Anolis sagrei: one gene and its partner. The main gene of each other region encodes a partner of the protein of the gene in region 2 in a complex. Links are inferred from orthologs where the notes say so. Each region holds a gene or a part of one and is shown on either strand. Other genes may lie near its edges.

Region 1 (16,356 bases), about 190 Mb from region 2:
CCTGACTGAGCGGTACCTATTGATCTACTCACATTTGCATGTTTTTGAACTGCTAGGTTGGCAGAAGCTAGGGCTGACAGCAGAAGCTCACACCGCTCCCCGGAATTGAACCTGTGACCTTTCGGTCAACAAGCTCAGCACCACCGGGGGCTCCCAACATATAATATAAAACCATACAAAATCAATAAAAACATAAATCATTTGTGACTCCTAGAGTTCCACTGCTGAACAGCTCTCACAGTCAAAAAGTTCTTCCTAATGTTCAGGAAGAATCTCCTTATAACAGTAAATAAAGAACAACACTCAAACACAGGGGAACTCCGGACAAGAAACAATCAGGGACAGCTAATCACCTCTCAACAAAGGATTCCCCCAGACCAGGCATGTAGCAAGGGGAGGGGGGCCTTGGGGGGCTTCAGCCCCCCCTGAAATTCTCATGGTGGTCCGCGAGAAGAGCTTACTGGTATATTATTTAAACTGTTATGTTTATTCATATCATGATCGGATCACCATGCTCAATATATCCCATATGCATGGGGGTATTGGGGTAACGATACAAAAGCTTTGCTAGGGTAGACCCTCTTTCACTCAGACTCAGCCCCCCCGAACCAAACTCGCCCCCCCCCCCGAAACAAAATCCTGGCTACGGGCCTGCCCCAGGCAGTAAGAAGCCAGACCTTGGAACTGCTAGGCCATAAAATGCTAATCAAGGTGGCCAATTGAAACATTCACACCTACCTCCAACAGACAAGAGTACTTTCTCCCACCCTGAACATTCCACAGATATATAAATCCCATTTTCTAGTTTCCAACAGACCTCACAGTAGTTAAAACAATCAATTAAAACAATAACAATTAAACAATTAAAAGCCAACGTTCACTGAGTTCTGATATCTGTAAGTCCATTCATCATTACCATAGTCCTTTCCAATTTCTGGTCAGCATTACCTTGTCAGTCTGCCAGATTACCCAAAGGCCTGGTCCCATATCCATGTTTTCACCTTCCTTCTGAAGGAGAGGAGGGATGTTGATGACCTAATTTCCCCGGGGAGTGAATTCCACAGGTGAGGGGCCACCACCGAGAAGGCCCTGTCCCTCGTCCCCATCAGCCTAACTTGTGATAGAGGCGGGGCTGAGAGCAGGGTGTCGATCTGCATTTATTCTACAGTGTAGATGTAGAACTGACCAGTATGTTGACTCTTGGGCAATCTCATGAAACCTTGGCTTTTCAGGAACTGTTTGCCTTCTTTCTCTCCCTCTATATATGCTCTTCTTCTCCTTCTTTTTCTGATTTTTTTCTCTCGGTTACAGTAAAACCTCTCTTTCCAATTCCCTTTCCCTTAAAGATATGCTCAGCTCTTTCAGTCAGGTTGGGGAGGCTTCATTAATGAATGCTCTTAAGGCAATTTGCGATCGGAGATGAAAGGTGCCGAATGCTTGCGACGCATTGTTATCAGAGAGTGAATCATGCCCGGGGAAGCTGCATCCAGCCGCTCGGCACAATTTATGTTCTGCTAACGTCGATAATTCGACATATGATAATGCATATCATTCAAATTACATCTTAATTTAGCACAAATGAAGATGGCAACCATTAGCATATTTCTCCATCAGCTCCAATTAGAGGGCATGATGAAGTCAGCTCCGGCAGGAGAGAGTGAGAGAACGAGAACCAAAAGTGATCTCCGGGGAGTCATAAAACAGATCCCTCTTGGGTTTGCCTGCGATGTTCAGAAGGCCAGAGAGAGAGCCACAGCTTCAGGGAGGAAGAAGCTTCAGAAGAGGAACTCAGGTGCACCTATATTAAAGAAATAATGCAGTTTGACCCCACATTGACTGTCTTGTCTCAATGCAATGGAATTATGGGGTTTGTAGTTTGGAGATGATCAAGGGTCTGAAGAACAAGCCCCATGAGGAGCGTCTTAAAGAGCGGGAGGCACTTAAAGCCGAGAAACCTATTACGTGACACGCCTGAAGGCTTTGAAGGCCTTGTTTGCATTTCTGTCAATCTAGCTGACCTTCGTAAACCTAGCGATTCCCCCCTGCTCTGCCAAATCTGCCCTCTCCTATCTTCAGGTGTCAGATTCTCTGAAGAGCCAGAAGGGAGTGAAAGTTCACCGCTTGGCTCTGAAATATTCTCATGGGAATTTGGACGTTCGCTTTCCAAGGCTGCAGGAGTTTCTTCTACATTGACCTCAGAATCCACATCCTCATTAGCATCAGGAAATACCTTAGCATCAGGAAATACGATCAGAGAATCAGGTTCAGGTTCAGGTTCACACACAGGCTGAACCCTAACACATTCAATCCCATAGACACACAACATATATAGACAGACACTCAGAGGCTATTAACACTCCAGCTTCTCGTGAGGGTATTCTGACCACCAGGGGAGCTGTCACTTCACTGTACATTTGTGACACTGATGGAGTACTTCTTCATTATTTGCATGCTTGCTGGAGATTTGTATGGCCTTGTAAATTAGTTAAATTAGCCTCCCCGTATAAGTGGTACCTAAATTTCCTACTTGACAGATGCAACTGTCTTTTGGGCTGCAAAGGTCAACAGGAAGCTACACAAATTGGTTGGAAGCTCACTCTGACCCGGGCTGGCTTCGAATTCATGACCTTTCAGTCAGTGATCTTAATGCAGCTGAATCCCAGCCAGCTGCACCACAGTCCTGGTGTGCTGAGAAGAGACATGATGAGGACCATGTTTCAAGAGGTATGGGGAAGTCATAGGGAGGAGGGAGCAAGCTTGTTTTCTGCTGCCCTGGAGACTAGGATGCAGAACAATGGTTTCTAATTACAGGAAAGGAGATTCCACCTGAATATTTAGGAAGAATTCCTAACTGTGAGAGCTGTTCAGCAGTGGAACTCTCTGCCCTGGAGTGTGGTGGAGGCTCCTTCTTTGGAGGGTTTGAAACAGAGGCTGGATGTCCATCTGTCAAGTGTGCTTTGAATGCGATTTTCCTGCTTCTTGGCAGAAAGGGGTTGGACTGGATGGCCCATGAGGTTTCTTCCAACTCAATGATTCTATGATGCACCTGCTCTTCTTGGCAGAGAAGGCCGAAGACCTTGTAAAACTGCAACTCCTATGATTCCTTAACACTGAAGTAGCTTCAGAAGAGGCCCTCAGGTGCATCTATATCAAATAAATAATGCAGTTTCATAGAATCATAGAATCAAAGAGTTGGAAGAGACCTCATGGGCCATCCAGTCCAACCCCATTCTGCCAAGAAGCAGGAATATTGCATTCAAATCACCCCTGACAGATGGCCATCCAGCCTCTGTTTAAAAGCTTCCAAAGAAGGAGCCTCCACCACACTCCGGGGCAGAGAGTTCCACTGCTGAACAGCTCTCACAGTCAGGAAGTTCTTCCTCATGTTCAGATGGAATCTCCTCTCTTGTAGTTTGAAGCCATTGTTCCGCGTCCTGGTCTCCAAGGAAGCAGAAAACAAGCTTGCTCCCTCCTCCCTGTGGCTTCCTCTCACATATTTATACATGGCTATCATATCTCCTCTCAGCCTTCCCTTCTTCAGGCTAAACATGCCCAGCTCCTTAAGCCGCTCCTCATAGGGCTTGTTCTCCAGACCTTTGATCATTTTAGTTGCCCTCCTCTGGACACATTCCAGCTTTGACCCCACATTAACTGCCTTGGCTCAATGCTATGGAATTCTGGGATTTATAGTTTTGTGAAGCACCTGCACTCATTGGAAGAGAAGGCTGAAGACCTTGTAAAACTGCAACTCCCATGATTCCTTAACATTGAAATAGCTTCAGAAGAGGACCTCAGGTGCATCTATATCAAAGCAACAATGCAGTTTGATCCCACGTTAACTGCCTTGGCTCAATGTTATGGAATTTTTTGAAGCACCTGCACTCTTTGGCAGAGAAGCCTGAAGACTTTGTAAAACTGCAACTCCCATGATTCCTTAACTCTGAACCATGGCGGTCAAAGCAGTGTCGAACTGCATTCATTCTACAGTGTAGCTCTGTATCCAAAGAGAAGAACTGTGGTCTGCATAGGGTTTGGTGAGTTGGGCTTGAGGAAAGAGTTCAGAGAGTTAACCATTGCAATATATTGGGGGTGTTGTGTGGTTTCTGGGCTGTATGGTTGTGTTCTAGCAGCATTTTCTCCTGACATTTCACCTGCATCTGTGGCTAGCATCTTCAGAGGATGCAATATATTTGCTGGCTTGATCGCTTACCACTGTTTCTGGCTGTTTGCATGTAATAATTAAAAGACAGAAGTAGCAGAATTAGTCACACATCGAACCCACGGATCAACACAGACACTTGTCCAGAATGGCACCTAAGCACAAAATGAACTTAGGAAAATCACAAAGTTTGCAGACATTAGCCTATAAATCTGGGGTGCAGGGAGAAGATCTCAGATTAATTGAAAGGTGCTCTGAGAACATTGCATTGAAATGCAACTAAACTGAAACATCTGTGGCATTTCCATTTCGGAGGAAATATAACAGCAGAGAGCTCTTAACGATGAGGAGAAAACAAAGAAAGCACATTTCTAGCCCCCCTACCTTCATCTATCATAATAGGAACATTCAAGGTTGCCTAAAGAAATGGATTGGCAGTGGATTCACTAGAGTAGTTTTTCATACGAAGGTAAATGAATGATGTGCGGGGGGTCATAAACTCCAGGTGATCTCAAAGAGAATTCAGCACATCCACAGAAGGTTATTCCATTGCCAGCTGTGGACTGAAATGCTAGAGCATGTAGATTTGAGTCTTCCAGGACTGTCACAGAACTTGAGATTGCGGCAAGAAAAACAACAAACGAAAGTAGAAACACATGCATAGATATCAAGGGTATGCTCTTGAGATTCCCCCTATTCCAGTGTTTCTCAAGCTGAGGGTCGAGACTCCTGGTGAGTGGTGAGGGGGTGTCAGAGGGGTTGCCAAAGACCATCAGAAAAAACAGTATTTTCTGTTGTTCATGCGGGTTCTGTGTGGGAAATTTAGCCCAATTCTCTCATTGGTGGGGTTCACAATGCTCTTTGATTGTAGGTGAACTATAAATCCCAGCAACTATAAATAAAAAATAATGGTTTTATTTATGTTTTATATTGTAATGTTGATTATTTTTAATGGTACTTTTATGAATGCATGACATTGAATGGTGCCAATCTGTAACCTGCCTTGAGTTGCCGTATGGTTGAGAAAGAACTCCCAAATGTCAAGGAACATTTTCCACAAACTCCACCAGTATTTACATTTCAGCATCTTGAGTATTGTGGGTGCTAGAAACAATATCATACGAAAGCTGACTGGCACAACCTGGGGATCACAAGCAGACACTGTGAAGACATCTGCCCTTGTGCTATGCTACTCTGCTGCTGAGTGCGCAGTGTGGAACACATCTCACCACGCTAAAACAGTAGATGTGGCCCTTAATGAGACATGCCGCATTATCACGGGGTGTCTGTGCCCTACACCACTGGAGAAATTACACTGCATAGCCGGTATTGCACCACCTGACATCCGCCGGGAAGTAGCAGCCAATAGTGAAAGGACCAAGGCAGACATATCCCCAGCTCATCCCATGTTTGGGTATCAGCCAGCACGTCAACGACTTAAATCAAGAAATAGTTTTCTAAGATCTACAGAGACACTCGCTGGAACACCCCAGCCAGTGAGAGTCCAAAAGTGGCAGGCTCAAACCCAGAACCTCGATCAATGGCTGATAACAAATGAGAGACTCCCCCCTGGGCACACAGAGGACTGGGCAACTTGGAAGGCGCTGAACAGACTGCGCTCTGGCACCACGAGATGCAGAGCCAACCTCAAGAAATGGGGCTACAAAGTGGAGTCCACGACATGCGAGTGTGGAGAAGAGCAAACCCCTGACCACCTACTGCAATGCAACCTGAGCCCTGCCACATGCACAATGGAGGACCTTCTTGCAGCAACACCAGATGCACTCCAAGTGGCCAGATACTGGTCAACCAACTACCAAACTCACAAATTTTGTATTTTTTCTGTTTGTTTGCTTTGTTCTGTTAGAAATGTAATATAACTGACTGGTTGCCCTGACACGACAAAAAAGAAAAAGAAATAAAAGCATCTTGAGTATTCGTGCCAAGTTTGGTCCAGATCCATCATTATTTGAATCCACAGTGCTCTCTGGATGTAGGTGAACTACAACTCCAAAACTTACAGTCAATGCCCATCGAACACTTCCAGTATTTTCTGTTGGTCATGGGAGTTCTGTGTGCCAAGTTTGGTTCAATTCCATCGTTGATGAAGTTCAGAATGCTTTTTGACTGTAGGTGAACTATAAATCCCAGCAATGACAACTCCCAAATGACAAAATCAACCCCCCAACGCCACCCATATTCAAATTTGGGCCTTTCAGGTATTTGTGCCAAATTTGGTCCAGTGAATGAAAATACAACCTGCATATTAGATATTTACTTTATGATTCATAACAGTGGCAAAATTACCTTTATGAAGTAGCAATGAAAATAATGTTATGGTTGGGGGTCACCACAACATGAGGGACTGAGGGGTTGCGGTATTAAGAAAGTTGAGAACCACTGCCCTATTCACCTTGAGGGAAAGAGAAAGTCCAGAGGCAGTGTGGTGTAGTGCTTTGAGTGTTCAACAAATACTCTGGAGCAAAGGGTTTGTAACTCTGCTTTGCCATGAGACAGAGGGACAGAGCAGCAGGGACTCCTTTCCATCTTGACTTCTTGGTCACCTGCTGTTTTATATGCTGCACCAATATGCTCACTATACAATGGACATTGTTAGATGCAAGGCATGAATAACGGCACAATACAGATATATGTAAAATAATGCAAATATTCTGTGGTTTTTCACCCAATGTGTCAATAAGCAAGGCCAACCCAAATATCTTGTCACCCAGATCTCTCATGAGAATGGCATTTGGCAGTTAATACCCATTTTTTGCAGCAACAGCCATAAATCTGCCAGGCATTAAGATACACTCCAGTAGCCCCATCCTACTTAAGTGCAAGCAAATACCAACATGGTTAAAGCACGGCAACAGCCATCATCCAGTGTGAAAAATGCACAGCTAATATAAGCATTACATACATACAACAAATGCAGAATACATGGCTGAGAGTTGGTTAGTGTAAGATTCTGGCGATGGGCATGGCTGTGCAAACGTCTTGTGGTGTTAGGACCCTGTGCAAACTACTCCTGTGCCTATTTACGCCAAGCTAAAGGCTGTAGAAATGTGGACCATCTGTCATTCATTGTTGCCTTTCCCTTTTCAATAGTACGACAGTTGATGGCAGACAAGAAATCTATGCTTAATGGGCTGTGAGGCTGTTCTTGCTCCAAGCGATATTGGAATATGTTTTAAATCAGACAGGGCTAAAGTGGACTTGGCATAAGAAGTGCACAGACTCATGGCTTGTTTTTTCCTTTTAGTGAGAAAGAACTGCCTGTTTGAGCAAAGATGTGTATGTAGGATGCTTAACCTATATATGTTTGTGTGTGTAATGTTTGTTTGTGGGATTAACATAACTCAAAAACCACTGGAAGGATTGACACCAAATTTGGACACAATACACCTATCAGACCAACAAGTGGAGCCTCTGGTGGCACAGTGGGTTAAACCCACCCCTGTGTTGGCAGGACTGAAGACTGACAGGTCGCAGGTTCGAATCTGGGGAGAGTGCGGATGAGCTCCCTCTATCAGCTCCAGCTCCCCATGTGGGGACATAACAGAAGCCTCCCACAAGGATGGTAAAAACATCAAAACATCCGGGCGTCCCCTGGGCAACGTCTTTGCAGACGGCCAATTCTCTCACACCAGAAGCGACTTGCAGTTTCTCAAGTCGCTCCTGACACGACAAAAAACAAAAACAAAAAACCAACAAGTTACCATCACTCATAAAAACAGCAGAAGGGACTTAAAAAGCCAAAAAAGCAAAAAGAGGCTACAGCGCATGTGCAAAAATGACTTCCCCGACAAACAAAACACAAAATAGCATATCCACACTCTCTTCTGGACCACAGCTCCCAGCATCCCCTAGACCAGGCCCTTTAGGAGAGAAGGATGATCCAAATGCACTGCTTCCAAGCTGCAAGCTTTCTTCTCCTTGGATTTCTTTGAGAGCATCCCAATCCCTGCATATTTCCAATTTCCTATTCCTGGACTGAAACTCCCAGCAATCCTACAGATAGATAGATACATTTGATAGAGATAGAAAATCAAGTTGATAAATTGATCAGGAGGACTACTGGGAGTTGCAGTCCAAGAATAAGTAGAGAAGAGAGAAAAGGGAGAAAGAGGAAGTGATAGAAAAAGGGGGGAAGGAAGGGAATCAAAAACATCAAAACATCCGGGCATCCCCTGGGCAACGTCTTTGCAAACAGCCAATTCTCTCACAAGGTAGAAAAAGGGGGGAAGGAAGGGAAGAGGAAGAGAAGGAAGGAAGGAAGGAGACAACAAAAGAAAAGAAAAGAAGGAAGGACTGAAAGAGGGAAGGAAGGAAGGAAGGAAGGAAGGAAGGAAGGAAGGAAGGAAGGAAGGAAGGAAGGAAGGAAGGAAGGACAGAAAGAAAGGAGGAAAGAAAGAGGGAGGGAAGGTTGGCCACAGTAACATGTGGCGGGTACAGCTAGTATATATATATATTTGTCCAGCTCAAAAATATCCCTCTCTGAAACTGTTCTAAATTTGCATGGGGAAGGATATGAATTATTGCCAGTGGTTCTGAAATGACTTCTACTAGTTCCTTGGATACTCTTGGATGTCGTTCATCTGCCTTGAATTCATTTAGAGTAGCCAGATATTTCAGGACCACATCTTTCTTTACCCATTCTGGGCTGCATTTCCCCTTGTCTGCTTCGTATTGCTCAGGTTGAACACCAATCTCTTTTTGGGAGAAGACTGAGGTGTAGAAGGTGGCTGCATTTCCCCTATTACCTTGTTTGCTCCGTATTGCTCAGGTTGAACACCAAACTCTTTTTGGGAGAAGACTGAGGTGTAGAAAGTGTTGAGTAGCTCTGTATTTTCCCTATCCCCTGTTAGTATTTCACCACCTTCTTCGCACCTTCTTCAAAAATGCATTTGATTTCTCTTAGTTTCCCCCTTTCTTTGTATCATAAACTCCAAGACCACATAGTCACTCCCACCTAAGAATCCTACTACTTCCACTCCATTGATCAGATCCTCAGAGTTAGTTAGGATCAGATCCACAATAGTGGATCCCCTTGTTGCTTCTTCCACCTTCTGGACAATAAAACTGTCATCAGGGCAAGTGAGGAATTTGTTGGACTTTGTACTCTTGGCAGAGTTTGTTTCCCCACAAATAGTTTAAATCTCCTTTACTACTCTATCTCTTCTTTCTGCTTGTTTGGTCATCTGGTCAAGGAAGGCTTCATCCAGTTTTCAGTCTGTCCTTAAGGTATGTAGTAGACCCCCACAACTACATCTTTTTCGGTCCTTATTCCCTTAATTTCTTATCCAGATGCTCTCAATCTGATTGTCAGGATTGAAACCTTGCATCTCTTCACAGGTGTAAACATCCTTAACATATAATGTTACCGCTCCCCATCTCCTATTTGGTCTATTGCTCTGAAATTAGTTATACCCCTCCATTACTACATTCCAATGATAGAACTCATTGCACCATTTTTCAGTGATGGCTATTACATCATAAGTGTTTTGTTGTGCTAAGAGTTCAAGTTCATCTTGTTTGCTTCCCATTCTCCGTGTATTAGCATGGAGACATCTAAATCCATGGGACAGTCTCCCTCACTGCTTATTTTATCTTGGCAAAAAAGAGCCACATGCAAGTCAAATCAATGGGAACACTTTAGAACAACTGAGATAATTCAGACAGTGTGAGCAATCTATAAGAGCAAGTAAAGTGTACTAGTTTGAATGCTGGACTACGACTCTGGAGATCAGGGTTAGAATCTCTGAGCATCGACACATTGTATGACCTTGGGCAAGTCAATCTTGGCCTCAGAGGAAGGCAATAGCAAACCCCTTCTGAATGCATTTTGCCAAGAAAGATTTGGAACAGTGCCACCAGAAGTCAGAAATGACTTCAAAGCATACAACAGATGGATGGATTCTCCTGGTTCCGAACATTTTTCACTGAGAGTGAACCTGGGACCTTTTGCATGGTCTGCTATTGTGTTGTATCATTAAACTACAATGTCTCCAACCATCCAAGAAAGGCTTGGTGACTGGCTCAGTTATTACTGTGTGCTCAAACCATTATGCTACACTGGCTCTTGCTGTCTCGGAGCTGCTGGTATTTTGGATGCTTTTGGGTTGTGATTGCTTCTCCCCCAAAATAAATGGATAATCATGTCTCTCTCTCTCTTCCTTCCCCTTCAGGTGTCTATTGGGAAGAATGGTGTGGCAGCTTTTGGGACTGACCATTTGCTTCGGTCTGGCTCCTTCTGCTTTTGCAGACTGTGCTACTCAATGCTCCGCATGCGCTCTGCAGGTCCAGGATGTAGAGAAGCCCATCAAACCCTTGGTAAGTTATGGCATGGGCCATCGGTTTATTATCCCTGCCTAGCCGAGTGAATAAAATTCTGCAGATAAAGCGTGACACTTGAATTCTTATCAGGTTTGAGGCCCTGTTCAACAAAACACATTTATTGTAACTTTAATCAAGCATATCAGCCACTTCTTCGTGTGAGTTGCTTGCTAATAAACAACAGCAGCAGCAGCATCTTGGTGGATGTCTTTCGATGAAGTGGAAAAGGCTAGAGAATCGCCACCCAGAAGAAATCATATATGTGCATAACACAGGATATACACATCTATGTCATTAACAGGATTCTGGCTAAGATCTAATAATAGACAAAATCTTCCATCAGGAGATAAAACTATGATAATACCGCAACCTCTCCACAGCTGCATCTTCTTATGCTACTCTTCCCAAAACTATCTTTTAGACTATGTCGCCACTCCAGCAGAGGAACTTCCAAGGTGCAGAAGAGAAAGGGGGTGAAATATGACATATCTAGCCCTCTCTCAGTAGCAAGCCATGCAGTGACAGGATGGATTGTGCTATGAACATAAAGATGAATTAGAGTAACTACGAGGGGTATTTTTTAAGTAAGGTCCGTTTTGTTGTAGACACTAGTAGTTCGCGCGCATACCGCAACGAACGCGTGTGTCGTGTACCGGCATGCCTCGGGAACAACTGTGCTCAGTTTCCGCTCTGTAGCTAACCTGTAGGGTTCTGTTCTGTGCTTTAAAAATGTTTAAGACTATCAACTCACCATCCGCATGTGAGGTTCGCTCAGTGATACGGTTTTTGTCAGCAAGGAACCTGCCTGCTGCAGAAATTCATCGGCAGGTGAGTTGATAGTCTTAAACATTTTTAAATATATATATAAACACACAATGGACACACGTTTTGTGGATTTACCAGTATGTGTGTGATGGGAGGTTGTAGATTATGCACGCACACACATATAAACTCCAACTGTGTGTGTGTGTGTATGTATGTATGTGTATATATTCCACAACTTCCTAACACAGACATACTGGCATATCCAGGGTGTCCAATGTGTGTTTATACGTCCACACACACATAGAGATTTGAAGTATATATGGATATAAAACATCTAAACAACAAGGCTTGCATCCATTTCTATTGAACTGTCAAATCTTTTTTGACTTCTTTCTGATCCTTCTCGGAAAATTAGGAAGACCTTTCCTTGTTGTTGTCTTGCAGATCTGCTCCCTGGAGTGCCAGGGCTCCTTGCCATCCAGGGCAGAATGGGAGAAGTGCAAAGACAGCTTGTCTACCCTCATTCCTTTCTTGATGGAAGAGGAGGAGAAAGCCAAGAGACCTTTCCAGTTGGAGGAAGAGGAGGAAGCCCCCCAGGAGCCATATTCCAGTCTGGTCAAACGTTATGGTGGATTCATGAAGAAGCTGGACAAAAATAGGATCTTCTCCTTGCTGCGAGAGAATGCCCTCACCAAGGGTGGCATCAGCAAGAAGTATGGTGGGTTCTTCCGGAAGATTGGAGAGAGGGCAGCCTCTGAGCCGGCGATGGAAGACTACCCCACAGTGCTAGAGACTGGAGATCTGGCCTACAATGGAGCAGAGTCAGATACAGGGTCTCTCAAGGATGAGACGAAACGTTATGGGGGATTCCTCCGCAAATACCCCAAGAGAGGCTACGAAATGGTTTCCGCCACTGAAGATGATGAGCAAGAGCTGGAGGGCCTCCACAAACGCTACGGAGGCTTCCTGCGTAGGATCCGCCCAAAGCTCAAGTGGGACAATCAGAAGCGCTATGGAGGGTTCCTCAGGCGCCAGTTCAAGGTGACCACCCGGTCCGAGGAGGAACCCAATGCCTATTCAGGAGAGGTCTCTGACCTATAGATGCCTCCCCCTCATCTGCTGCAGAAAACCAAGTTCTTTTCCAGCTGCAATACTTCCAAGTAGGAACTGTGTGGGTCATCCATCTCAACTGCTACCCTTTCCCTTGTAAGCTCCCAATGCTCAGCCAAGCAGTGCAGGAACCCTTTGCCAATTTGATGATAGAAAGACCAGCTTGATATCATGAAGAGAAGGGGCTTTAATGAACTTGAGGGTGGAACTTTAGGGTTTGGGGCTGGGGAGGGAATCATATGCTCTCTGCATTTCATTGAACTCAAACTTCCAGCATTCCTCACTACTGAGTACACTGGGTATGGATGATGGAAGTGCAAGAGCATCTCAAATCTCTGCTTTGGGCAGATTTTGGAGAGGTTACAGTCAGTCCTCCACATTCAAGTAATGCATATAGGACTCCTATGGGAGTGGGGAAAAAAAATCTGAATTTTCCCTGAGTAAATAGATATAGAAATCTCTCGCTCCTCCAATGTGACTTGATGACCAGCTTCTTGTGGAAGTTGACCCTAGAATCGCATGGGAAGACCTACAAAAACCCAAAAAGTGTTATCTCTAGGAATGGCTTGGTCAGTGTTTCTCAACTTGGGGGTTGGGACCCCTGGAGGTCATGAGGGGGTGTCAGAGGGGTTGTTAAAGACCATTGGAAAACACTTAACATTTCTGTTAATCATGGAGATTCAGTGTGGGAAGTTTGGCCCAATTCTATTGTTGGTGGGGTTGAGAATACTCTTTGATTGTAGATGAACTATAAATCCCAGCAACTACAACTCTCAAATGTCAAGGTCTATTCTCCCCAAAATCTACCAGTGTTCATATTTGGGCATATTGAGTTATCATGTCAAATTTGATCTACAGTGCTCTCTGGATGCAGCAGGTAAATTACAACTCCAAAACTTAAGGTCAATGGCTAACCAACTCGTCCAGTATTTTCTGTTGGTCATGGCAGTTCTGTGTGCCAAGTTTGGTTCAATTCCATTGTTGGTGGAGTTCGGAATGCTCTTTGATAGTAGATTAACTATAAATCTCAGCAACTACAACTCCCAAATGACAAAATTACCCCCCCCCCCCACAACCCCATCAATATTCAAATTTGGGTGCATTGGGTATTTGTGCCAAATTTAGTAAAGTGAATGAAAATACATCCTGCAGATCAGATATTTACATTATGATTGATAACAGGAGCAAAATTACAGTTATGAAGTAGCAATGAAAATAATGTTATGGTTGAGTGTCACCACAACATGAGGAACTGTATGAAAGGGTCACAGCATTAGGGAGGTTGAGATACACTGCTCTAGTTCCTCTAATGTGACTTGATGATGTGACCTGAATGTGTGACTTGAATGTGTGACTTGATGATGTGACTTGATGATGTGACTTGAATGCAACATTCCTGCTTCTTGGCAGAATGGGGTTGGACTGGATGGCCCATGAGGTCTCTTCCAACTCTTTGATTCTATGATCAGCTTCTTGTGGAAGTTGACCTTAGAATTGCTCAGGAAGACCTACAAAAATCCAGAAAAGTGTTATCTCTAGGATTGTCTGGGTCCTTCAATGCAACCTTGTGGTCAACTTCCACTGCAACTTCCAATGCAACCCTATGGTCAACTTCCTATTCAAATCTATGACTAATGAAATCTGCAAAAGTAAAACCTGCAAATGTGGAGGGAAGACTGGAGTTTTTTTTTATTACAGTTCCCAGATTTGGAGAAGAGGGAGTGTTAAGCTGTCCAAACACAAACAAACAAACCCACACAACATTTTCTCACTCTGGGTTTAGGAATTGAGCGTCACCTCTCTGGATTTGCCCTCTAGAGACCAACCTATAACTGATAGAAATGTCACCTCAAAATGGATATCGATTTTGCCTTTATCCTTTCCCCTCCAAGAGAAGCAAAGGCATTGAATTAGTCAATAAAAATAAAAATAAAATAAAGACAGGGCATATAGGAGCAGAGCCCAACTGTATGCCCATTTACATGGGAATGAATTCCATTCATTTCAATAGGAACATACCTGTATAGAGGATGGCAGCAGATGAAACTACAGTACTTGAAAATTTGAAGGAATCAAATCTGAATAAAGAGCACTAGAGAAACATGTTGGAATAAGGTAGTCACATTCCAAATTCTCAACCAAACAAGAGAATCATAATTTTAGTGCTTTGGAGGATGGAACTTGGAGGAGGAAAGACAGGTGAATTAATTGGTCAGTATACTAAAAAGGAGAACATAGTGCCATTTTGAAAGCATTCCTTCCTTAACCCTCCCTCGATAAGCCAGTCAGTCAGTAGCCTTTATTTCGGTCAACAAACCATCAGCTAAGTCAAGTGAAAGTAGAATGATGAAATACAACAATTAACAATTAATAACTTCACATTTGGCTTATAATTAATACAAACAAGTATCACCATACCCTAGATAAAATAGTGAAGAATAGAGACTTCACACTGGCAATGAAGATCCGCATAGTAAAAGCAATGGTATTCCCTGCAGTCACCTATGGTTGTGAGAGTTGGACCATAGGGAAAGCTGAGCGAAGGAAGAGAGATGCTTTTGAGCTGTGGTGTTGGAGGAAAGTTCTGAGAGTGCCTTGGACCGCGAGAAGATCCAACCAGTCCATACTTCAGGAAATAAAGCGCGACTGCTCATTGGAGGGAAGAATAGTAGAGGCCAGGATGAATTACTTTGGCCACATAATGAGAAGACAGGAAAGCTTAGAGAAGACGATGATGCTGGGGAAAATGGAAGGAAAAAGGAAGAGGGGCCGACCAAGGGCAAGATGGATGGATGGCATCCTTGAAGGGACTGGCTTGACCTTGAAGGAGCTGGGGGTGGTGACGGCTGACAGGGAGCTCTGGCGTGGGCTGGTCCAGGAGGTCACGAAGAGTTGGAAGTGACTGAACGAATGAACAACAAACCTTGTCATTGACCAGGTGTGCAACAATAGAATCACACATGATTCTTGATCAGGTTGTATATAGAGGTCTTATTCCAAGAAACGATCAGATATCTTCAAGAACTTTGTCTCACATTGAGTATGATTTGAACTGTTGGTTTTTTCCGGTGGTTTTCAGAGCAGTAAGAAATCTCCCTTTTCTCATTTCCAATGGAAATGCACCCTTTTAGCAAAAATGAGATCTGGGTTATTGAGGTCAGCGGTTGAAGGGCTCTTTTCACCGGCCATAGATTGAAATAATCGGAAGCAGACTCTCATTCCCTCTCCTTCTCTTTCCTGCCCACCCTCTTCCCGCTTACCATGCCTCCCATTGTTATCCCTTCACTGTCTCTCAGGTACCCTGCAGAGAGCATTTCCATTCACCTGCCATAATAAGGTGTCCATCTGGAGAGCATCCCACGCAGCTTGCTTTTATTTGGGTTAAATTGCATCGCTGACCCTTGGCAATGGGGAAAATAAAGCGCATTAGCGGAGCAACGCAATAACAATGTCTCCTCATGTCTGAAGTGATCCTGAGGCAACCTGCAATTTGTCGCCTCAGCAACTGGCTGGGCTTGGATGGCCTGTCCTAATATTTGCAGGTGGGGTTGAATTTCCCCCATTGTGCCTCTTGATGTGTAAAATTCATGTATTTTTCAGGGCCTTAAGATCTTTTTCTCAAGTTGGCCTCTCCTCAGTGTGAGACAAGGCTCTTGCAGATATCTGATCATGTCTTAGTATCAAAGGATCATAGGGACAGAAGAGACCTCATGGGCCATCCAGACCTCTGTATACAACCTGTATACAATCCTGTGTGACCCTATTGTGTCAACAAGATAGCCCATTGAAAATGATCTTACTACTTATTTTGTTATGTGCAGAACCCATAACAATTGCTAAGTTGTCCAGATGAGTCTAAGGCAGGCATGGGGAAACTTGTCAGGTCTTTGTTCCAGTTTTGAAAAATCTGCTGGTTTCTTAGAAGTTGCCACTCTTTGACATTGAATTTTGAGGTCCTCCAGGACAACTTATTTGAGTGGAAC
Region 2 (16,423 bases):
AAAGCTTTTTCTTCATTTATATGATTTCTGGAATCAGAAATGCATCGGAAAACAACTCTTATATCTTGAGAAAGTTGGAGAAGTTCTCCATCTTTGTTGCCATTATAGAAATTAGCTTTATGGAGATCCAGCTTTTTTGTCTTATTCAAAATGAGAAGAGTAAGTTAATATTCCTGTTCTCACTTTCTTAATCCTACTTATGCCCAAAACTAAAAACATGACTTCACTCCTTCTTTAGCAACTGAGCAGAACTGGAAGTACAGAACAGAACACAATTACCATACTGGCACCACTCTTTCAGCCAGACTTAAGATCTCTGCCCTGGAGTGTGGTGGAGGCTCCTTCTTTGGAAGCTTTTTAGCAGAGGCTGGATGGCCATCTTTAAGGGGTGCTTTGAATGCTATATTCCTGCTTCTTAGCAGGGGGTTGGACTGAATGGCCCATGAGGTTTCTTCCAACTTTATGATTTTGTGATTCTAGGATTCTATGATCTCATCAGTCAAAAGCAGGCCATCTCTTCCCATTCAAATACTGGTAAGTTTATGTTGGTTAAAATTGTTCTTTATTTTAAATATTCTGAAGCCCCTGGTAGTGGAATGGGTTAAACTATTGTGTTGGCAAGACTGCTGACCAACAGGGGAGAGTGGGTTGAGCTCCTGCTCTCAGCTCCAGCTTCCAAGCAGGGACATGAGAGAAGCCTCCCACAAGGATGGTAAAAGATCAGGACGTCCCCTGGGCAACGTCCTTGCAGATGGCCAATTCTCTCACACCAGCAGTTTCTCAAGTCACTCCTGACACAATTTTCTTTAATATTGTATTGTTCTTTTCTTTCTTTCCTTCCTTTTGCACTACAAACAGGATATGTACAGTGTGCACAGGAATTTGTCCATAATTTTAAAAGACTATTGTTTGCTCCCCTCAACAATCTGAGGAACCATGAATTGGCCTTCTGTTTAAAACGTTTGATGATCCCTATCCTAGAGTCTAGTACCAAAAATAGATGATTCTAGTGTAATAGTAGTAAAGAAAGCAAAACTAAATATTGGAGAAATTAAGAAATTAGTTAGGATAAAAATGAAGCAAAAGAACAATTTATCAAATGTTGTGAGGCCAAAAATTTATGTCTTGCAAATGCATTATTCAGATGACTGTATGTGGCCATCTGAATGTCATCAGATGGCCACTACATAAATTAAACTGCCTAATTAGGTGTAAATGGAAAAGTTTCATTCTCTCTGCAAAAACAAGGCTAAAGCAGATTAGATCCCCCCCCCATTTTTATTATTATTGCTGTAAACACAAGTAGAGTGATACAAATCTCAAAAATAATTCCGCAAGGTTAAATAGAACAAACAAATAATGATATTCCACTTACATTTTCTCTAGAGCAGATTATGCACAAAACCAAACATCTAAAAATTAGACCATAGCTAAAATTTACTAAATCACTTTGCCAAAATGTAACCTGAAGAATCTACCTGGAGAATATAAAGTTAAGAATAGATTTGTGCTATTAAGCCAAACAGACTATAGAAAAGAAGAACCTTGGACCATAATCAGGGACCCTGTTAGGGTCCAAAGAAAAGCAATAGAGCTGGTTCAAATGGTGCAGATGGAATCCATACAAATTGCAACAAAACTCTGGCAACAAACATGGAAAACAAAACACTGTCATACAGAATGGAAATGAGCAACACATATCCAATTCCCAAGAAAGGGAACACCAGTGAGTGAATCAATCATCATAGCATTATTCTTCCATGCAAGTAAAGTAATACTCAGAATTTTACAGCAAAGATTTTTACCATACATAGAGAAATGCCAGATATTCAAGTAGGATTCAGAAAAGCAAGAGGAACCAGGAATTACTGTATGTACTCAAATATAACCCTAGTTTTTCAGCCCCCTTTTAGGCTGAAAATGCTCTCCTTGGCTTATACTCACGTGAAGGTTATTTATTATTTTACCCTGTTATTAGTATTATTTTATTACATTTATTATTTTACTCTAATTTATTATTATTATTACATTTACATTATTTTACTCTATTTTTATTTTTATTACATTCATTATTTTACTCTATTATTACATTTATTATTTTAATCCATTTTTATTATCACATTTATTATTTTACTCTCTTAATTATGATTGGAAGGATGCGTAAGCAGATTTACATTGAAGAAAGTTAGAATAATGGTTTGATCCAAGTTGGACAGTCTTATCTTAAATTACAGTTTTATGTAAATATTCATAAACATTTATTTATTTATTTATTTATTTATTTATTTGGGATGCTTCTACCCCGCCCTTCTCAACCCCCTAGGGGGGACATTTAACCTACTGATGCCTCAGTTCATGTAATTTTGTTGATATCTATTTTTATTTTGAAATTTACTGGTAGCTGCTGCATTTCCTGCTCTCGATTCAAACTCGAGTCAATATGTTTTCCTTTTTTTATTTTGGGGTAAAATTAAATGCTCTGGCTTATACTCGGGTATATACGGTATATTGGAAACATATGTCAGGTAACAAAGAACACCATCTTAATCTAGTGCTTAATGATTCCTTAGCAGGTTCTCTGAGCTGCAAATTATCAAATAACATGTTCCAGAAAGTCCTAGATGGGATTTGGAATCCTGGGAAAGATGTTATACTGTTTGGCCTACATCAAGCCACATGTATAACTTAAATATTTGATTCACAGGATATTAACAATTCAGAAGAAATCTAAATATGTTTTGCCATTAGAAAGAAAAGTGAAAACCTGGTTATTTGAACAGGCATTTGAATAGGCAGTGCAATGAATTTTAGGAAATGGAACTACGAATGACAAGTTTGGATCATGATTCTAGTTATGAGATGCCAATGAATGAATGTTTATAGTTGTTTAATTGCTTAGTCTGCTATTGTGTTGATTGTTTTTAAATACCTTGTTATGCTGCATTGAATTTTTGCTATTTTGTTGTTAACCACTATGAGTCGCCTAAGGGCTGAGAATAGTAAAGTAAATAAAGTGAAGTAAGTAAATAAATAAATAAATAAAGATCTTTAAATTAACTTAAATGTCTATTGTTGTTCCCATAGGTTGACATTCCCTTCTTCCCTTCTTCTATCTCTAAGCTATTCTGGGACTGGTGGAAAAGTAGGAGGAATGGCAGAAACATCTGGCTGTCCCTATAGCCAGATGCAGAATGATTATATCATTCACTGAGACCTCCAAAGGAAATATTGACATTGAGATTGAAAGGCACTGTGTCTTTAGAGGACTGTGATGGGATTGAAATGTTGTGCTGTTGTCTATACAACATTGTAGAGAACTCTTCTTCACCATTTGTGTATTTCTTCTCTATCACCCATCTGGCTTGTTGGGAACTGATAAACGAAATTTGATCATGTTTTACATTCAATTGCAATCTATAATGGAGGCCAGCAAAGGTTTCAGTCACAAGATGAAAAGGAATGAAAATTCCCTACAGTGAAATCCATAAAAGAAACTGTTTTAAAATTAGAGGAGAAATTAGTACAATACAGTACCTATTTGCTCTAAGCATGCTTGTACTGGAGGTCTGCAATCAAGGTTTATGAGGATTTTTAAAAATTTAAAACAGTTGTTTGTTACTCTGGTTTTGACCTGCGAAGCAGTTCAGAAGAAAAGATGTTTCACCCTCCTCTCACCACATATTTATCTTGATCTAAACTATCCCTTCCTGAAGCTTTGATGATCTCTGCAGGATTGGCCAGGAGGTCCTAATGTCATTCCACAAAAGAGCCATCAGCAGTCCTGGAGAGTTACTCATGGCCTTTTAGATCAGGAAATTGCCTGATGGACATGATGCCCCTCTCCCTCACTTAGCAAAAAGAAAAACCAATTCCATATTTGCCTTAAAATTGAAAGGGGCAAAATCTAATTACATATTCCTCCTATTGCATCTGGTTTTGTATGCCCAATATCCATCATCTATACTGGAAATAATCTTGTGAATTTGTTCAAAGCCTTTATACAAAGCATAAACCTTCTAAAAAGAATGATTTTGTGAAATCTAACAAGAATCATGGATTTAAACTAACCATGCACACATTTCATACACACATATGTAACACGATAACAAAGTGTCAAAGAATATAAGGTCAATACAATACAAGATAAGATATATTAATTGATATGAGTAGAGCAGCAGTGGCTAATGGACACTAGGGCTGATAGGATAGAGGAGTCATCACTGACAAAGCAAAGAACCAATGGTATCTCATTTTCTATGTCCTCATAAGCTGTAAATATCATTTGTACCACTCTGGAGATAGGAAAGACAGTTGAGGGAATAAATGGGCAATGCTCAATTTGCCTAAATAGAAGGATGATCCAGGGCAGTGCTGGGGACCACTAGGATGAATGAGAGATCATTGTGATACACTTCTCAGTCCTTCCCTTCCACTTAGAGCAAATTAGTCATTTTAATTAGTATATTCAATTTGTATTGAAACCGGGAAGGTTGGGAAGGTGAGATATGCACCTACGCTACTTTCACCCAAATGACTGTATGCATATATGCTTGAGCAACAATCATGTATGGGACAGGTGAATAAAATAGGCTTGAGTTCAATTAAATCTTTCTTGCACAGGATCTGATCTTAATGAACCAAACATCTCATTTGTGAACACACACACAAAGAAAATATGTTTTTGAAAACAATATGCAGATTTGAGGTGTGTATATATTATATAGAGGGGGGGGGGAGAGAGAGAGAGAGAGACAAAGGATGGGAAGAAAAAGAGATATGTGATCGAGTGTGTTGTATCTGCAATAGTGGGAATAATAATAAAACATTAACCACTTCTTATCCCTGGGGGGAGCTCTACTCATATATTTCTGCAGAGTTTTCCAACTTCTCTGTCTCATCCTCCAAGCTATACAACTTACAACTTTGAAGTCAGTTTTCCAATTCAGTTTTATTTGCCTTATTTATACCCCACCTTTCTCTACCCCGGGGGGACTCAATCCACAAGTTAGTTTTCTCTAACTCTATTCTCACAAGCCAAAGGAGACAGCCTCTAACTTCTACTTAGGCCACTGCACATGTGTTGAGATGGCAGTTTCTCCCACAGTAATACTAAATCTGAATTTTCAAGGAATGTGTCTAAGAGAATAAATTAATATACAGGTTTTTTTTTCTCCCACTAACAGTTTACTCATTGGGGTTATGGCATCTGTAAGTGTGATTCTTCTAGACATTGTATTGTTTGGATCTGGCAGAAAAGTATTACTCAGATAAAATTTTTACTAGAAAAATAACACCCAAGACATCAAGAACTTTTCCCTTCATTAATTTATCCTTCAGCTCCTTTTTCTTCACAGTTTACATGGTTTTCCTTGAGAATTGGAAAAACTGTATTTTTTCGTTCACATAAGACCATAAATGATATGGGTCCACAGACATGTAGCCCGGGGGGGGGCTTGAGGGGCTTCAGCCCCCCCCCCGAAATTCTCATGGTGGTTTGTGAAAAGGCCTTACTGGTGCATTATTTAAACAGTTATGTTTATTCATATCATGATCTGATCACCATACTCAATATATCCCATATGCATGGGGGTATTGGGATAACGATACAAAAGATTTGCTAGGGTAAACCCTCTTTCACTCAGTCTCAGCCCCCCCCCCCGAAACAAACTCACCCCCCCCCCCCCGAATCGAAATCCTGGCTACGGGCCTGGGGTCAGGGAATCAAGATTTCTCATTGACATTATCATTTCCCCAAGCATCTTTCAAATCCCTTGAGCTGGCTTTTGGGCAACTCTCACGATTGCTAAGGAGAAGGGACCAAACAGTGCAAGTGTAACAATAGATGCTACCTGAAAAGACCTAAAGAACTCACCAGACACCTCAATAATATTGCTTACCTTATGATGACAAACATCACTAGAGAGTTGCCAACCAAGCCCACCACAAAGACCACAGAGTAGACTGCAGTGATGATGATGGGAATAGCTGGGGAGATGTTGGTGTGGTTCTGCTGTAGGTCTTCATACATGCCACTACCATTGTTGCCATAGTCTGCCAAGTCCAAAAGCCTACTTTTGCTGCTCGGAGTTGGAAGTGAGCATGGTCCAGGGGAGCAAGTAGAGCTTTGTTCCTCTCGGAAAATGTGCACTGGGGGATCCATGGAGAATTCCACTTCAAACTCAAGAAGGGAAGAGACAGGAACAGCCAATAACACTGGAAAGAGAAGGAGATGATAATGAAAGTGCTATTCATACAGAAGTCCCTAAACAGAAGTTCCTTCAGTTATAATTCCCGAAGTCCTAAACACCTTTAAAAACACTACAAGTGAAGAGAAATAGAAGTGAAATAAGATAACACACAGTGCTCAGAAACAATTTTTTAAACCACCATGAATTCAGAAACATGACTCTCTAACAAAAAAAGGAAGGCTAATTCACATTTCTGTTTTGTCAAAGATTTGTTTTAATTTTATTTCTCACCTTGTAGGACTCGTTGAGGAAAAGCCTTACACTCTTGATAATAGGTTAATGAAGACAGGTTTGAAACTCCTTTGGACTTTTAAAATACTGTGCTGGAGCATCAAAATGTTAATGAGTTGCCCAGATAAGTTTCGTTCATTTTCCATCAAGCAACATGTTTTAAAGATCAAAATACAGTTCTTTCTGATCTCTTCTCTTTCATCTCATCATTTACCTGTTCAAACAATATAAGGGATCTTTCCCAACTCAGTAACATAAGAAGAGGACACAAGCTACAGTTGTGTTTTAAATGTAGGTGGAATACAAATATTACATTTCAATAATAGGTCAGCAATAAAGATTTTAAAACACAAGAGTAAAGAAAAATTAAGAAACAAAAGAGTAGCAACATTACCTGTTTAAACTGAAAGAGGGAAAAAGTATGGTCTCCCTGAGAAAAATCCTCATATGCTGAGCAGCACCCTCTCCCTTTCTGTCTCTGATTCACTTTTGTAACTTAGAATCTGAAGGATTTGTTTGCACTCCTGGAAATGAAGAACAGCTGTATCTCCGAAGGATTAGCTCTGGACCGACAGCAGCAGCAGCAACAGTCCCTTGTAGCCTCCACTTTACCTTTGCAGCAAGCAGACTCCCTCACACACTCTGTCTCCAACTCTCACTCTGCCAGCTTTGTCAGTCCGTTGATACTCCAGCAGCCCCTGCACACATTCTCTTCTCAGCTCACATGACTTTTTCTCTAGACACCAAAAGGCAGGCAAAGTATGAGGCAAGAGGGAGACAGCTTGTTCTGTGCACCTGAAAGATTTGTGCCACCCTCTACATTGCTTTCACATCCATATCTTAATCCTTCCCCAGATTTTAAGGTTTTTTTTTAGCAATTAGATCCCTTCAACCTATTACTGCTGTGCTGGTTCCCACATCATTAGTTATATGAGGTGACAAAGAGAAATTTCAGATCCAGCATATTCACCTGGCCACATGATATGTTCTGAAAGAATTGTTCTCTTAGGTGCAGACACTATGTCCCCTGTTCTGTTCAGTCTGTATTAAGGAAATAAAAGTGTCCTCCTTAAAATGCAGCAGAATGAATGAGGCAGATTCACACTAATGCCCCTATAACTGAAGTTATAATACTAAAATGTGACAAAAACATTGTGATATGTAATGGATCCCTAAATCCATTACATATCATAATGCTTTTGTCACATTTTAGTATTATAACTTCAGTATGTTTGTGAAAAGAACAAAACATCTTGTCACTCTTTGCCTAGTTTTACCTCTCTATTAAACTTTCCAAGTAGTCTAAGATGCTTGGAAGTATATTACCATAAACTGACAGTTATCAGACTTTTTTTGTAATGTTTGCCCAGACAAGACAAAGGTAAAATTGTTTGAACCTATCGAGTCTCATTATTTGAATCTACAGGTTGTGTTGCTGCCTGGAGGAAGAGGAGGAGGAATTGGAGTAGCAATAAAATCTTGTCATGGGTCTCTGCTAAAAAATAAGATCATGGGAAATTAGCATCGGCAAAAAGATTAGCAAGAGACAAGATGAAGTGGTTGGAGATGAAGTGGTTGGAGGGTTCAAATTCCCAACTAGCCACGAAAACCCATTATATGGCCTTAGAAAACTCATGTTCTCTCAGGCCCCTTCTACACTACCCTTTATATCATAGGATCTGATGCCAGATGTGATGAATTGCCTACCTTTGAGGCCAGGGGAAAGCTCAGAAAGTAGGCCCAGGATTTCGGGAGCCATTTTATGAGAATGGTGCAAGGAGGCAGGCATCTTAGATAACCCATTTCCTAGAGGGGACAGAGCTTAGGAGCAGCCTGGAGGGAAATGTGAAGAGCCTTTGTGATTGGCTAGGAGAAAGTGGGCAGAGCTTAGCCAGAGTGGAGAAAAAATTGCCTGTAAGGGTGCGTTTTCAAATCTGACAGCTCAGTTAGCGTCTGGTGTTTGAAGAGTTGAGTCAGGGTTTGTCTGGAGTTTTTAGGAATTATAGTCAGAGGGAAGTCTGATAGTTTCTGAGGGAGTGAAGAGTCGTTTTTGGAACTAAGCATTGAACTGTTTTTTAAAGTAACCATAGGCATCTACTCATTATCGCAACCGTTAAGCTTAAGTGCCTGTATTGTTGAAGTTCTCACAAATAAACAACTTTGTTCTTTGTTAAACAACAACTGACTCAAGAGTGCCTCTATGTGAAATAGTTCCATAGCAGTAAGGGAAACAGAATTTTAAGATTGGTGGCAGCGTTTACTTAAAAGAAACTCAGTGTTATTTTACCTCAAAGTTCAGAGCTCTGAGTGTGAATCTAGCACAATACAGCTTACTTAAAATCTCTTGCCAAAACAGAAACTATAAATTACTTTTAGGTGTGGTGGTAGCTAGTGATCACAGAACATTAACTAAGAAAATAATGTGTTTGTGGAAAAATCTCAACAGCTTCCAAACACTTAGTTGAATTTATATACTAATCCTTAACAATTGGTGATACAGTAGTGGGATGAATAAAGGCCTCCTGCCAGAAAGTCATTTGAGTTTGGAGTCGAAGTTAATTAATCAATCTTTATTTGATTAAACGATGTGGTTGTCTTTTACATTTTTGGTGGTACAGCATTGGAATTGTTATAATAAAATTCCCCATTTGTTTCACACCAGATTTTTTGTTCTTCCCAGATTATATGACAGTGGAGACACATATAATCTATTTCAAAGCAGATAACCTGGGATCAGATCCTGGGATACAGGACAGTGTAGAAGGGGTCTCAGATGGACCTTAATGACACATTCACTCTGAATTCTTGCCAAACATTTGGATTTTGATTTGGAGTAAACTGTAAGGTTAACAACAGCTAAAATGCCAGCCCTACTTTTATGCATTATGAGGTGGCACCTCAACTTCCTGATGTTGGGAAATTGTGGCAAATTTCTTTTCTGCTGTATTCTCAAGAAGTTCCTTTTCCTAGGACTGCTAAAGCAAACCATTTGAAAGACAATGAGCCACATCTTTGAGAAATCCCTCTGGGAGAAGTCCAATCCTGAAATACATAATTGTTCAGTAACTCTCCATTTAGTATATCAACTATGCCAAGGGCACAGACTGAACCAGAGAGAAGAGAAAGGACTGCACAAAGTGCAGAAAATTTAATTATGCAAACATGCCCCAAAGGCAAGTTTAAACCTAATGGGCCTATAGAACGAGGAAATTTGCAGTGTAGACACATCATCCATATTAGCTTACATGACAGATTCCTTAATCTTGTTCTTAATACTTTACATTGTATAGCTTCTAAAACAGCTGTTAATTTATGAGTCAGTATAATTGAGCATTATATTTTCACATTTTGGTCTAAATATACATGGTATTCCTACTAATTTTTATAGTACAATGCTGCTTGGATACAATGTTGGCCTTATCACATGGGGGAACTCACCCCCCCCCCCAAGCACTATTTCACCAGCCTCCGTGGTGGAACAGCAGGGATGAGAGGTGACTCTGTCACACAGGGAAATCATCGACGAAGCGGTGTGGATTCATGCTGACTCCCGTGTTACAAGGGAAGTGCTGTATGATGCTTCCACTCCAGTTTTGGATGGACTTCCAGCAGAAGTCCAAGGACATTGTATGAGGGGCAGCATGCTCATCCATTGTTGGACTGGCAGGGAAGCATCCTAGGATGCTAAAAAAGCCCCATGTGATGAGATCATATGTCACCATTTGTAAGTTGAAAATCCTTGTAGAAAGAGATCTCATGATATACAAGTTGTGCTTAACTGAATGCTATCTCTGCACATACCTTCATGATGGAGTAAGCACTGATGTATCTTGTAGTTTAAAATATGATGAGACAAAGTGAAATTTTGGCTAAGAATAGATTTACCTCTATACAGCCTAGACTGGTCCTCCATGATGCTATATTTCAACCAAGTCCTCTAGAAGACAGGTTGGTTTTAGGATTGATTATAGGAAGCTACGTTCACCTGTTTTGCATGGGCAGACTTATGTCAAACAGGACAGGCATACTCAGCAGTTGAGTAAGACAAGGCCAGGGCTGATGTTCTTATTAATTTTGGGTCTGCACCCCATGTGCTCCCAGTAAGTTTTCACAGGATACTATTGTGTGCAGCTATTTTGTGCTTGGTGTTCAAGCAGTGTTTCCTATATGCTAGTGTTCAATCTAAGATATTTAGGATGGAAACAATGTTCAAGCTCTTGACCTTCCCAGGTGACTTTCAATTTCCTGTTGGCTTCATGGCTGCGTAAACTGGATTTCAATTGTTTCAAAGTCTTTTGCTTGTGTTGTTAAGCCAAGATCATCAGCATATATAAAGCTCTTTGTGAGTGGGGTTTGTGGCTGATCGTTAGTAAAGATATTAAACAAGGTCGGTGCAAGAATGCTGCCTTGGGATAAGTCATTCTTTTGCCTCCTCCATCTACTTTTCCTGTCTTCTATGTTCTATGATAAATGAGGGGGACATGGGATGATCAGCTGTGGCATAGTTTCACATGCTACAACTATTCTATGTTGAGCCTGACTGGATTCTGGACATTGGTGGATGGATGAATGATGCTCAGAGATTGTAGTAGTAGGTTAACACATTTAGGTGATCTCTGATCAGCTAACAAAATCTAATTGGGCCAAGCTCAGAATTACAATACAGCAAAGTAAAATACAACAAATCTAATTGAATTGCATTTACATTAGTAATGGAAATGAATTCCTAGGTTTGTGGTAAATTAACATTTATATTTATTATTATTTATACCTGCATTTAAGGCCTTCCCAGAACAAAGCAGGGAATGCCAGTCATGATTATTACAGATTACTTGCTTTCGTGCATAGATCCTTGCAAAAGTTTCAGGATTAAGAGCTTCAAAAATCAGTTTCATAGGACAGATGAGGATCTTCTTTGTGGGCACTTCTTAGAAAATAGGAAGAGAACCTGGATGCAAAGAGGATCACCTCCTTCTACTAACCTTACTACTTTTATGTTTAAAATCATTTAACCTTGGAAATTACTTATGCTGTTCTAAAATAAGTACTGCCTCACACTTATGTAATACATTATTTAATTCTAAAATTGTGCTAATGTTGAAATTCCAAATTAAGTCAATTTAAAAATAAAGTTTTTTTATTAGAAAAACATTCCATCTTAATTAGCTTTAGCTAGTTAGTTCCTAACTAACTAGCTAACTAACTAGAGTTAGTTCCTAACTCTAATGAAGCTTGTAGTTCAAGCCACAATTAGTCTTAAAAATTGAAAGGTTTTGCTAGAACTGATGCCCATCAATCAATTTTCTAATTTTTCCAGCCCTCTGTAGCTTGTCTTCAACCTGATGAGTTGGTGTCTCTGTCCTGGCCTTTCTGAGTTAGCATACACTCAACAGGCACAGATCCTCTTTTACAGTCCCAGTTAACAACAACAGTATCTCAAACAGAATCGTAAATTGTTCCCCTTTTTGAAAGACTTAAACATACAATATATGCACTGCAGTCTTTAAACATTGGTTTGAATCCCTTTGCCACAGGTAATGACAAGCAGCTTTTCGGCTACAGTAGGAGGAATGTCTATTTGTCCCAACTTTATCAGATAAAATGTAATAGAAGGACTGCCATATGCCAAGTCGAAATATTTTGTTTTGTATGTAATAGACTCAGTACCCTGGAAACCAATTAATAATAATAATAATAATAATAATAATAATAATACCCCACCACCATCTCCCCAAAGGGGATTCAGGGCGACTAATATGAGGCCAAGCCCAGAATTACAATACAGCAAAGTAAAATACAACGAATAAGTAATAAACATCAAAGTAAAATACAAAAAATAGCAAAATGTACAATAAACAAATGCAAAAAAATAAAATGGTGGAGGAATAAAAGCACAATGGATGGACCAAATGCACAGAAATAAAATAGATAAAACCCTGGGTGAGATAAGTAAATGGAGTAGTGTGTGTCTGAGGGGAGAAATCAGAAGGGATGAAACAATCGGGTTGACCTTCACTAAGCGGTGAGAGAAAGTGCATCAGGAGGACAGACCTGTATTGGGACACACATGGTATGGGGGTATGTGTTCATTCCACTATGGACTAATGCCTGCTCCCAGAAGAAAAGAAAAAAATAGATCAAAAAGTTCTACTCCCAACCTTATTTCATTTTAATGCATACACTTGTAATGTACATGAATTACATGCAGACTAAAGATATTCATGCCCTGGTGATCAGGCATGCCCAAAACAGTAGCTGGACACAACTACTTCTCTGAATATGCCACATGTTCAGGACAAAGCTGCAGATACCATTTCCCAGCGCAGTGATCTGTAGCAATGTCAGCTAGATTTTGCCAGGTTGAAAAGGTGGGGTTTGGGCAAACAAGTTTGATCTTTACAGTAAATGTGAACCTCTAGCATCTACAAGAGCATACATACATAGCTGGATACCATAACTGCTGTATGCAATGCCAACCCCAGGTCTCTTGGCATGTTAAATTTAGTAAAGTTAAATTTAGTGAAGTATACTTTGATATTCTCACCTGAACAAAGCTGAAAAGCAGAAAAATATCCAAATGATCATTTCTCAGATACACTATCAGTTCTTGGGAAACAATATTCGTACTTAAACAACAGATGGTGCTTTTACAAATACAAAAATCTTTGTCTCAAGGGGTTGGCAAACTAACAAATGATGCAGAGGAGGCAGATCGTTGTTATGTGTATAAGAAGACAGAGAAGAAAGAGATGCAGCCAGCCATCCATAGCCTGGCTCTTTTAATACCTCATAGAGCAACAAAGAAAGAAAAGTCTCAGTAATGCAAGGAAATGTTTTCAGACCTTCATGTAGTTTTTGTTGCTAAGGGAACACATTTTCTTTCCTATATAGATTTACAATGCCTTTGGGAAATCTGACTGTCATGTAATTCACAGGGGGAAAGGACATACAAGATTTTTTTAAAAAACTTTTTATTTTGAATGGGTGAGATGTATCAAATCTGTTGATGTGACATTCATATAATTAGATGCAGTGCATTGCAAATGCTGCATACAGGGTTTAAAGTTCAGTTGCAAAGGGATCTGTCATGTAGGCTGTAAATTACGACACTACAGTAATGGGTAACTACTACTCTTTCCAGCTAGCCTTTTATTTTGTAATAAATCATGGTCTTACAGTTCTTATTCCCCCAAAAGCAGAAAAATATCCAAAGTTTATCAGGACATAAATGATCAGAACTCGCAAAATATCTGGAGTACCTACTCAAATCTTGAGAGGCAGGAGTTAAATAAAATCTTCCAAATAGGTGATAAATATAAGGTTTATTGTAAGGGAAAATGACTATAGGGTACTAACTACACTCCACCCTTGGTGTGAACATTCAGCAGAAGTGTGAACAGACGCCATACATATAGAAATATGCATTCTCAAGCCTTCCCTGGCAGTGTGCATGTATGTATGTGTGTGTGTGTGTACATATGTAGAGGGGGGAGGGAGAAAGAGAGACAGAGGCTGGATCTACATTTCCATTTCCATATAAAATCCAGATTATCTGCTTATAACTCCATTATATGGCAGTATAGACTCATATAATCAGGTTCATAGCAGATAATATGGATTACCCACTTTGATAATCTGGACTACATGGCAGTGTAGACCTAGCCAGAGATAGAGAGAGAGACAAAAAGATAGAGATAAAGATACATACACAGCTTGAAAAAGTTACATTTTTGGGTGAAAACTCATCCAAAATTACTGGTTGACACATTAAAGAAATTGTAACCCAAAAACTAACTTATCGATTCTCTGGCTAATAGTTTAAATGCACTCTGTGTGTGTGTGTGTGAGTGAGTCAGGAGTGACTTGAGAAACTGCAAGTCATTTCTGGTGTGAGAGAACTGGCCATCTGCAAGGACGTTGCCCAGGGGATGCCCGGATGTTTAATATTTTACCACCTTTCTCTCATGTCCCCGCATGGGGAGCTGGAACTGACAGAGGGAGCTCAATCTGCTCCCCCCCCCCCCCAGATTTTTGTCGGTCAGCAAGCCTGCTGGCACAAGGGTTTTACCGAGGGCCCCACCATTTATGATGAAGTTACTCCAGTTCTCAAAAGCAGATATCCGCTTCATTTTTGTTAGTTAAACAAGCATAAATACTTGAATACTGAAGTTCTCCCTTTGATAGCTGCTTCTTCAAGGATTACATCAAGGCCCCTTCTACACTGCCAAATAATCCAGATTATCAAAGCACATAATTCACATTATCTGTTTTGAACATAATTATATGAGTCTATGGAGCCCCCGGTGGCGCAGTGGGTAAAAGCACTGAGCTGCTGAGCTTGCTGATCGAAAGGTTGCAGGTTCGATTCCGGGGAGCGGCGTGAGCTTCCGCTGTCAGCCCTAGCTTCTGCCAACCTAGCAGTTCGAAAACATGCAAATGTGAGTAGATCAATAGGTACCCCTCCGGCGGGAAGGTAACGGCGCTCCATGCAGTCATGCCGGCCACATGACCTTGGAAGTGTCTACGGACAACGCTGGCTCTTTGGCTTAGAAATGGAGATGAGCACCACACCCCAGAGTCAGACATGACTGGACTTAATGTCAGGGGACTACCTTTACCTTTTTATATGAGTCTATACTGACATATAATCCAGTTCAAAACAGATAATCTACATTTTCTATGGCAGTCTATATGGGGCCCAAGAGCAGTGCCCCTTTTAAACTTCAAGATGAGAACTCCTTCTATTGAAAGAAGGAAATGAGAGGAAAAGGGTATCTAAGGTATTGAGTGAGAGCAGAGCTGGCCCAAGACATTTTTCTATCTGAAGAAAACATAAAGTTGATATCTCCTTTTCATACAGAAATAAACTGAGTTCAACCTTATTTTAATAGGAGATGTCTTCTGTCACAATGGAAGGGAACATGTAATCTTAAATAATGTAGTACAACTACACACTGCACACAGCTTCAAAGAAGATGAATATTGACCAAACTGGAAGGAAAGGAGGAACAACTAAGACTTATTCCTCATACACACTTCAGCTTTTGCTTTTCATCTCTTTTAATTGTATTCACCAGTTGTTAGGATATTTCCACTGAATTTAGCATTGGTTTTTCTGGAACTGGTTACAGTGCTTCATTTGTTTTACTGTACGTACAACATTGTTAAATAAATTTGGAGAAGCTTTTGAAACACTGGTGTATGGTTTCTGATGTTTTTAATACACTTACTGAATTATTGTTAACTAGAGTGAATGTTATTGTGTATGAAAATGTTATTGAACATTACCCCAAAAATGCACAGATGAGCCTAGAAAACAATGTTAAGAATAGATTTATCTGTAGCAATATAAGGCCTTCCTTTTCTTTCTTTGCTTGTTTAAAATATTTATACTCTGCTTTCTGTTGTGGGATTTCAAGGCAGCATACAGATAAATCAATAAACTAAAAAAGGGCATTGCTCCTTGTACTCTTGATTTTAACTTTCCATCCTGCCTGTCTGTCTCCTAGTGCAGGACCCAAGGCATGAATTCAACATCGATTAAGACTGACAGCTGTTGCACTGAAGAACAGCAAAAATAAAATAAATAAGCAATTATATTAAAAAGCAAACACACGTTAAAGCATTTCAAAGCATAACAAGAACGTGGGGAAAGAGCAATTTACACACAGTCTTTAGAAAAGACCCTTTTACAACAGCCCATTGTGACCAAAAAACATGTCTACACTAAAAAGGTCTGTGCTTGATGGTAGGAGAACATAATAGCCTCCCATGGAAGGTAATTCCACAGACTGAGACAGCCAATAAGGAAGTCCACTCCTATGCCATCTATAAATATGCCTATGAAGATGGTTGAGATGAAAGGAAGTCTCAAAACCCATGCAGACTCAGATCAAATATTCTCAATGAAGAAGCTTTGACTTATGCATTACTCAGATAAGGGT

The links.
Region 1: the proteins of OPRK1 (region 2) and PDYN are in contact, whole or in part, in a cryo-EM structure (PDB 8F7W), measured with the Homo sapiens proteins. The link is inferred for Anolis sagrei from reciprocal best matches to the Homo sapiens genes OPRK1 and PDYN. Residues at the interface, in NP_000903.2 of Homo sapiens: Thr111, Gln115, Trp124, Val134, Ile135, Asp138, Tyr139, Met142, Lys200, Glu209, Cys210, Asp216, Tyr219, Lys227, Val230, Phe293, Ile294, Glu297, His304, Ala308, Leu309, Tyr312, Tyr313, Ile316, Tyr320; in NP_001177821.1 of Homo sapiens: Tyr207, Gly208, Gly209, Phe210, Leu211, Arg212, Arg213, Ile214.

The regions. Positions count from the first base shown.
Region 1 is NC_090024.1:239,521,231-239,537,586, forward strand, and holds PDYN (proenkephalin-B), read left to right. Parts: upstream 1-10,353; 5' UTR 10,354-10,366; coding exon 10,367-10,495; intron 10,496-11,707; coding exon 11,708-12,364; 3' UTR 12,365-13,005; downstream 13,006-16,356.
Region 2 is NC_090024.1:50,891,375-50,907,797, reverse strand, and holds the start of OPRK1 (kappa-type opioid receptor), read right to left. Parts: upstream 7,260-16,423; 5' UTR 6,874-7,259; intron 6,214-6,873; 5' UTR 6,161-6,213; coding exon 5,898-6,160; intron 1-5,897. UniProt on the Homo sapiens protein: G-protein coupled opioid receptor that functions as a receptor for endogenous alpha-neoendorphins and dynorphins, but has low affinity for beta-endorphins.